2 linked regions of the Macaca fascicularis genome follow. The protein of the gene in region 1 interacts with the protein of each later gene in a biochemical or structural test. Links are inferred from orthologs where the notes say so. Each region holds a gene or a part of one and is shown on either strand. Other genes may lie near its edges.

The links.
Region 2: the proteins of CRK (region 1) and DOCK1 form a complex in vitro, tested with the Homo sapiens proteins (3 studies listed by BioGRID and IntAct, with this or other methods). The link is inferred for Macaca fascicularis from reciprocal best matches to the Homo sapiens genes CRK and DOCK1.

Annotation. Positions count from the first base shown.
Region 1 is NC_088390.1:1,530,970-1,535,166, forward strand, and holds part of CRK (adapter molecule crk), read right to left. Parts: intron 1,052-4,197; coding exon 914-1,051; 3' UTR 1-913. UniProt on the Homo sapiens protein: Involved in cell branching and adhesion mediated by BCAR1-CRK-RAPGEF1 signaling and activation of RAP1.
Region 2 is NC_088383.1:135,959,775-135,964,548, reverse strand, and holds part of DOCK1 (dedicator of cytokinesis protein 1), read right to left. Parts: intron 4,526-4,774; coding exon 4,368-4,525; intron 3,262-4,367; coding exon 3,180-3,261; intron 2,431-3,179; coding exon 2,295-2,430; intron 1-2,294. UniProt on the Homo sapiens protein: Involved in cytoskeletal rearrangements required for phagocytosis of apoptotic cells and cell motility. Along with DOCK1, mediates CRK/CRKL regulation of epithelial and endothelial cell spreading and migration on type IV collagen.

The DNA of each region.
Region 1 (4,197 bases):
GGTCCTTCCACTCTGAGTAGAACCTAAGAATTCCAAGAGTCTCCTAATAGGATACTGGCCTTCAAGAGAAATGGCCCTGCTGGATCCCATCAGTTAGGACTCTAGTTAACTGCTGTAGAAGGGTGACCTACTACGACCCTTTAGGGGAAGGCAGAGAGCTGGGAGACTGGCTGTCCACTTAGTGAATCCAACACTGGCTTAAAGCTATGCACTGAATAAAGTGCTCGGTACATTCTGCTTCTCACCTGGAATGAAAATACACACTTATCCTAGGAATTAACCTACTTACAGGTTTGGGGGACAAGAATGTCAAGGGCTAAAAGAATCCCAAGAAAAAGTATGAAGCATCGACTAGGAAGGAACAAATGCTTCTAGTAGTGTTCTTAGAATTCTTAGGATCTGAAATGTCAGAATGAGTCATATGCTGGTCATGCTCCATACAATGAAAGCAGTCCTGCTTGATACTATTCACACAGTGCATTACTTCCCGGGGGTGGAAGGGAACAGTCTGTCGCCATTTGATAGTATGGTTCCAGAATGAAAACAAAACCACTGAATAAATCAGGGTAAGCAGTGTGTAATACTCCTTCCTGTCCATCGGTTTTCCACAGGGTGATTTGCATTGCCTGAGAGAAAGGAGGCAAGATACCTATCCCTTCTGATACACACAGGCACGGCCACTACCTCCTACAATTGCCAATTTCAGAAGCTAACACACGAGCCCTCCAGTTCGTACCCTGAATATGGTACAGAAGACTAGGAATGGAGTAGTTCAGTCTAAAAAAAGATCACAGGTAACAGAATGCTTATATAAACTAGACTGCTTTTGACATCTGTAAGAAAACTGTATAGATGGCAGCTGGAAAAAAAAAAAAGATTGTTCCCATCTGTCAGCAAAACTGTTGAGCTATACTCAGCTGAAGTCCTCATCGGGATTCTGTTGATCCAGCAGACGGACATGTGTGAATGGGAAGTGACCTCGTTTGCCATTACACTCCCCTTCCCACTGACCACTCACATTAATCTTCGTAACCTTTACCAGCTCACCGACCTGCAGGAGGAGAATAAGGAGAGCACTTTATTTCCAGTTAGGAATGCAGCTGCACAACTCCGTTCTCTGGTCAGCACACCCTGCCCATGTGATTGCTCTAGGGATGTGACAGAAATGGCCCCTTGCTGCCTCCCCAGCCCCAGCCACCAGACTGATTCCTTGTGGTTAATGCAGGCAGAAGGAAGAAGTGTTTTTAGCAGTGCAGAAAAACAGAGAATACAGAAAGTAAAACAGGATCCCAGATAATGATACTTTTTGATTAAAAAAGGAAAGTGGTAATTATTGGAAATCTCAAGTGTCTCTGAACAAGCAATCCCCACTTCAGTGAGTGAGCTAGTATTCCCTTTCTTTGTACTCACTACCCTCGGCTTTCTACCTGCTCCGCAGACCCTGTCCGAGGAGAAGCAACCTTCTCCCCTCTTTTTTTGTGTTTTTTCTTTTTTTTGAGATGGAGTCTTGCTCTCTTGCCCAGGCTGGAGTGCAATGGCATGATCTCAGCTCAATGCAACCTCTGCCTCCCAGGTTCAAGCAATTCTCCTGCCTCAGCCTCCAGAGTAGCTGGGACTACAGGTGCCCGCCACTATGCCCAGCTAATTTTTGTATTTTTAGTAGAGATGGAGTTTCACCATTTTGGCCAGGCTGGTTTTGAACTCCTGACCTCGTGATCCACCCGCCTTGGCCTCCCAAAGTGCTGGGATTACAGGCGTGAGCCACGGTGCCCGGCCACCTTCTCCCATCTTTAGCGTCCGGCAGCAGCACAGTCCCCCAGCCCACTCGCACACATGTCCTGGTCTATTACCGCTTGCACAGCAGAAACTGATCATGGCAAGCATAGGTCACTTGGTCCTAGAAAATCAAGTGTTCCCATCACCTCCTGACCAAGGCAAGCCTTTTCCCGTATGGGCAGGTAGAGGTCCAAACTCCAAATCCAATTAGCTCTCAGAAAACCCCCACCTCATTAAGCAAGCTCTACTTGACAAGCCACTGCCTGCCCAGCCCCCCAATCCCACCATTCGACAGACCTTGCTGCTCCCTCAATGCTGCTGATTACCTGATCATTACCCAATGAGGGGTCAAAAAAACCAACTATGGTTGGGCACAGTGGCTCATGCCTGCAATCCCAGCACTTGGTGAGCCTGACACAGGTGGATGGATTGCTTCAGCTCAGAGTTTGAGACCAGCCTGAGTAACATGGTGAAACCCATCTCTACAAAAAATACAAACATTAGCTGGGTGTGGTGGTGGCCGCTCACAGTCCCAGCTACTCCGGAGGCTGAGGTGGGAGGATTGCTTGAGCCCAGGAGGCAGAGGTTGCAGTGAGCTGAGATCACACCACTCCATTCCAGCCTGGGCAATAGAGCCAGACCCTGCCTCAAAAAACAAAAACAAAAAACCCCCCTGTATTTCAGCATGTATTTACGAAATGTCTCGTTGCAAAATGAAATATAAAGTTGTTTTTTTGTTTCTTTTTTTTTTTTTTTTTTTTTTTTTTTTGAGACGGAGTCTCGCTCTGTCGCCCAGGTTGGAGTGCAGTGGCCGGATCTCAGCTCACTGCAAGCTCCACCTCCCAGGTTTACGCCATTCTCCTGCCTCAGCCTCCTGAGTAGCTGGGACTACAGGCGCCCGCCACCTCGCCCGGCTAGTTTTTTGTATTTTTAGTAGAGACGGGGTTTCACCGTGTTAGCCAGGATGGTCTCGATCTCCTGACCTCGTGATCCGCCCGTCTCGGCCTCCCAAAGTGCTGGGATTACAGGCTTGAGCCACCGCGCCCGGCCTTTGTTTCTTTTTTGAGACAGAGTCTCGCTCTGTCACCCAGGCTGGAGTGCAGTGGCGGGATCTCAGCTCACTGCAAGCTCCGCCTCCTAGGTTCACGCCATTCTCCTGCCTCAGCCTCCCAAGCAGCTGGGACTACAGGTGCCCGCGACCACACCTGGATGCTATTTTTAAAATATTTTTAGTAAAGATGGGTTTCACCTTGTTAGCCAAGATGGTCTTGATCTCCTGACCTCGTGAGCCGCCCACCTTGGCCTCCCAAAGTACTGGGATTACAGGCGTGAGCCACTGTACCCGGCCGAAATATAAAGTTTTAACAATCTATGATATATTTCTATCCTGCTATGAAACTTCAGAGGTCAGTCTGATGAATGGATTCACCCCATGGCAAAATGCTGAATGGTGAAATACAGCCTCAGATGCCATGCCACTGGACTAAAGAGTTTTATGACCATCCTTTAAGTATCAATATTTGAATTCTGGGCATACTCTGTTCATTTGGTTTTATTTTTTTTTTATTTTTTTTTATTTTTTGAGACGGAGTCTCTCGCTCTGTAGCCCAGGCTGGAGTGCAGTGGCCGGATCTCAGCTCACTGCAAGCTCCGCCTCCCGGGTTCACGCCATTCTCCGGCCTCAGCCTCCCGAGTAGCTGGGACTACAGGCGCCCACCACCTCGCCCGGCTAGTTTTTTTTTTGTATTTCTTAGTAGAAATGGGGTTTCACCGTGTTAGCCAGGATGGTCTCGATCTCCTGACCTCGTGATCCGCCCATCTTGGCCTCCCAAAGTGCTGGGATTACAGGCTTGAGCCACCGCGCCCGGCTCATTTGGTTTTATTAAACCAACTACTATTTACTGAATTATTATATAGCAGAGGGCATTTTATATTTTATAACTTTATATTACATTAAAATATAAGGTATTTTCCAATCCTCATAATCATCCTGCAATACAGGAACTGCTTTCATTTTACAAATCGAAAGACGGCAGTTTAGAGAAATGGCATGATACACATGCCACAGAGGCGGCAGTTAGTGACAGAGCTGGGAATTTGAGCCCAGAGCTATCCGGTTCCAAAGCCCATTTATGCTTTTTATCTTTTATTTTTTGAGACAAGGTCTCACTCTGTCACTTAGGCTGGAGTGCAGTGACACCATCATGGCTCACTGCAGCCTGTAACTCTCGGGCTCAGGGGATCCTCCCACCTTAGCCTCCCGAGTAGCTGGGACTACAGGTGCATACCACCATGCCCAGCTAATTCCAGGCATGAGCCTCCGCACCATGTATGCATTTTATACAGTATCAGGAACTTTCAAATCATGCTCCTGGGGTTGTACTGGGTTCCCTAAAAACGTCCGCAGGCCATCTATTGACC
Region 2 (4,774 bases), on another chromosome or scaffold:
CAGGGATCCAAACTCCAGTGACCAGATGTAGTGTCTCAGCCAACACTACACAGGTGGGGGCTCCAGAAACAAGGAACTATGTCCCAGGTGCCCGCTTTACCCCAGTGAATAACCTGGGCTTCCATAATTCATGGAGAACTCCAGGAGCTGGGGGGCCCAACCTAACTCTAGACCCCACCAAGCAAGCGTAAGTGAGCATGTAAGAAACAGTGAAAGGCCACAGTGGTGTCAGCTGAGCCCATGCCCATCAGCCTCTCCATCCATTAGTACCTAGACCTTCATGGACTGTCAATCCAATGAAAACTGAAAAATATTCCAAATTTTTAAATTCCAAAAATTTTAATCAAAAGAAGGTAAAAACTGTCAGCCTGTGGTCTAGATTTCACCTTTAAGAAATACAACTACGCATTCGTAGGCACTTATGACATAATCCATCTTGTAATCTAATAACCAGAGAATCTGTAGGTCTGCTGTTGAAAAGAGGAGTGACTTCCGTGTGTTATCAAAAATGTCTCTGATTGCTCAAATGGAGCCAATTATGTCTGAGACAAAAATTAAATATTTTCTTAAAACTACCATCAAGATGGAAAAGAAAAAAAAAATCCTGGAAAATGAAAGGTAATTAAATATAACACTAGATTACATGTAAAAGATGCTACAGGCTCTGACAAATAGAGCGGCAATTTTCAAGTATGTATTCAAGTCATGAGATGAAAATGTTAGCAGGGCATGAGGGGGCGCGCCTGTGGTCCCAGTTACTCAGGAAGCTGAGGCAGGAGGATCACTTGAGCCCAGGAGGTCAGGGCAGCAGTGAGCTGTGATCACACAGCCTGGGTGACAGAGTTAGACTCTGTCTCTTAAAAACAAAAAGACAGAGAGATGAAAATGCAAAAGGATTTCCCCAGCCCAAGGTTGTGGGGACTTCAGAAAGAAAACCTCACCCTCACCATTTCACTCACAAATGGTAAGATCATTGGAACACTCCGTTAGTTAGCTCTATGGGTAAACTGAATTCAAGTAAACTGAATTAATATGCTGCTCTCATTATGTCTATATCACTGCTATGGCTTACTTCTTATGATATAGTAAATCATTTAAATGACTTGAAATATTTTTCCAAAAATTCCAGGCAGAGCACATAGGAATTTTAGGATGGTGAAGCTACCCAGTGGCACTACCATGGGGAATATACAGTATTATTCAACTGTCGAAACCCACACAAGGCACAACATCAAGAATGAACACTAATGTAAACTATGGACTTCACAGGACGACGATGTGTCAATGTGGTTCACCAACTGCAAACAATGTACCAATCTATGGGGGATATTGATAATGGGGACGCAGGGGGAAGGAAGGAGAAATATATAGGAACTGTCTATATTTTCTGTTCAATTTTGCTTGAACCTAAAACCTTTCTAAAAATAATGTTTATTCAAAAGGCAGGGGGGGAATGGACTAAGTTCAGAGTTTCCTGGTAGCCAAGGCAAAGAACGTCTTCCACGGCTGTTCATACAAAAAATCCAGCTGTGTGTCAAGAATCAGGAACCTTTCCCACATGAATATTCACATGAATCCCAAAAATCACAAACATAAAATAAATATCAGAGTGCTAAGTAATGAAATTGTAGCAACCATTAAAGAGAGAAAACCACTTCCCAAAACTATGAAAAATGAGAGTGACATTGAAATAGGGCAAATAATTAGAACTTCCTGGTATGCCTTTATCTTTCCTCAACAGAGATAACTGGTCTTTCACATTCCTCGTGCTGTCACCAAAAATAACAGAGCACCAACATGGCGGAGGAAGAGCACCCACGTGGCGGAGGAAGCGCACCCACGTGGCGGAGGAAGCGCACCCACGTGGCGGAGGAAGCGCACCAATATGAAGCTAACTGCGTCCTCTTCACGGTTTGCTTTCTTTCCTCCCCTTCGTTGCTTTGACTGTCCTGCACAAATCCATTCTGATGTCCATCACCAAGACCTGAAACCCTCCACTGACTGGCTTTCCTACAGACTGAGAATATGGGTCAGGATCTCTCCCAGGGAAAGATGAGATCCACTTTAAAACCAAATATATGATTTACATCTGAAACTTGAGGCCTAGAACATCCTGAGCCTAGCAGGTCAACTGGAAGCCACAATGAAAATAACTAATAAATATATTTTTTCTCTCTAGCAGAAAAGCTTATAAATCAAAGCTGCCCATTGACCAATCAACATTCAGCAGTGGTTCTTTTGAAAGTGACTGTGAAGATCTGAAACTCTCAAGGAAACACAGAGAAATGGATTACCAGCCACTCCAAAAGGTCGCCGCAACCCCGAAGTCAGTTTCCTGGTATTGTTGTCCCTCAGCTCCATGCGACCCACGCGAACAATCTGACAGACAAAACTGATTTTCTCTCTTTTCAGGTCTTTGCTTCCGAGGTCCTGGAAATATTAGTTTCCATAAATTATTTTGGAGAACCATTATTCAATGCAAGTTCCAATGAAAAGGACAGTAAAAAAAATGGATTGAGACTCTTTTCTCAGACTCATTTTTATAATTTTAATCAGTTATTCATATGACAGAAAGGAATTTAATAACAATAATCAATTACTGTTAAGTGAGCTTAAGATACACATTTAAGGGCTGGGTGCAGTGGCTCACACCTGTAATCCCAGCACTTTGGGAGGCCAAGGAGGGTGGATCACGAGGTCAGGAGTTCGAGATCAGCCTGGCCAACATGGGGAAACCCCATCTCTACTAAAAATACAAAAAATTAGCCAGGTGTGGTGGTGTGTGCCTATAATCCCAGCTACTCGGGAGGCTGAGGCAGGAGAATTGCTTGAACCCAGGAGGTGTAGGTTGCAGTGAGCTGAGATCACACCATTGCACTCCAGCCTGGGTGACAAAGCAAGACTCCGTCTGGAGGAAAAAAAAAAAAAAAACAAAAAGATACACATTTAAGAGGCACATTCCATGGTAATGGGGTAAATCTTTGTCACGGTCATTCTAAGGGTGGCTAGAGACTCAAAAGATTTCCGGAAAGGCACTCTACTTAGTAATACTAAATTAACCGATACTACAGGCATCCCAGGGACCCATGTTCTAGTGTGGCAGGAAGGCCGAGAGAAATCACTAAAAGTAGTCATTAGAATGGTGGCCAATTCAACCAAACATCTCTGCGTGCACTTACAGTAAACACAGCTCGCAAATTATGTAATCTGTCTATGTCTTTAGGTAATCCTGAACTGGACCAGCGAACCAGGTAGTTTTCACTTGAAAAAGGGAGAAATAAAAGCAAGTTAATTTTCCAAATAACAGAGTACCAAATGTACATCCACATTGCTTCATAATTAATACCACGTAGGTGCACTATACAGACAACTATGAGTTTATAAATATCAAAAATATCACATACAGCTACTCATCAATTAACATCCACAGCAGAAAATCCCTGCCAAGTTTTAATGTGGGATGTCTTGGGTTGTCACTGTAATGGAATTACTTGCAAATGGTATTTCTAAGTTGGTTTTTTTTTAAGAGCCTATTTGTTCATTTAGAATGACAATACTATAAAATTCAGCACAATGCATGTTTATTTCAAAACCTATGACAAACCAAATACACTGTAAAATAAAAACTGCATCCCATGTCAAGAGGAAACAAAGTCTTTACCAGAAGTGAGAATAAAATCCACTCATATTTTTCTGTATCATTCATACACTAAGTTTTCAAATTTTGAATAATACAAGTGAAGATCCTAGAGTTTTAGCATATACACAGACACACACACACAATTCATACATAATTGAACCACAGTGTTTCCATCTGGGCAAAGAGAAAGTTATACTGAAGGCTAAGCAGGAATAACAGACTTACAGTGTTTTCATTTAACAAATATTAATTGACAGTCTGTATGTGGCAGGCACCATTCTAAATGATGCATTCCAGTCAATCATCTTGCAGAAAAAACAACAGGATGAAAGTCACAGAAGTGGCATTCAAAGAAACCAAATTTTGAAAAATGGAAATAGTGATATTTGAGGGACCAGGGTACATAAAATCTTATGAAGACAACTTAGGAAACAAAGTATTACTTCAATCTTCAGCTGCACTCTTAAGATATGACCAGAGTGTACCTGCAACTGCTATAACTCTACAAACAAATAGCAATCTACACGCGAGAAGGTTCACCCTGACCCAGAGCCCAAACTGGCTGCCATCACACTGTCCAAGACAGCGCTTGGCTCGGCTGCTTGGTCGTGTCCAGCAGCCATTCATCCGGGGCCTCTCGGCATGAATGGCGCGCGTCAGTGGTTCTGATCCCACGTTCCTAACACCAACCAAAGAGGAAAGACAGCCGCCAAGAAATTTCACCTACCTGATGAACTTGGACTCCACAGGATCATACAGAGACATGAGGACTTCCGCATCTTCTCCTATTTTACAAACCACGTTTTTGAGGTTCACAAACAAGGCCAGAGAAGGGGTTGCAGCAAACTTGGCTTGTCTGTTAATATCTATGTTCTGCTTTTGAGACTGTGAATGGAAGGAAACAGAAAGTCAACCCCAGCAACGCTCATCACTAACACTTGCTTTCTTTATTCCCTACAGAATAGAAAAAGGTAATAATTCATTGGCATAACCCAGCAAAGCCACTGGTGCAGTCACCTTCTTATCTCCCCCGCACATTCTTAAATCATGCATTCACACAACAGACAAAAAAATCGTATCCCGTGCAATTGTTGTGCTATTTTCGAAGATACAAAACTTTCAGGTGTCCAACCA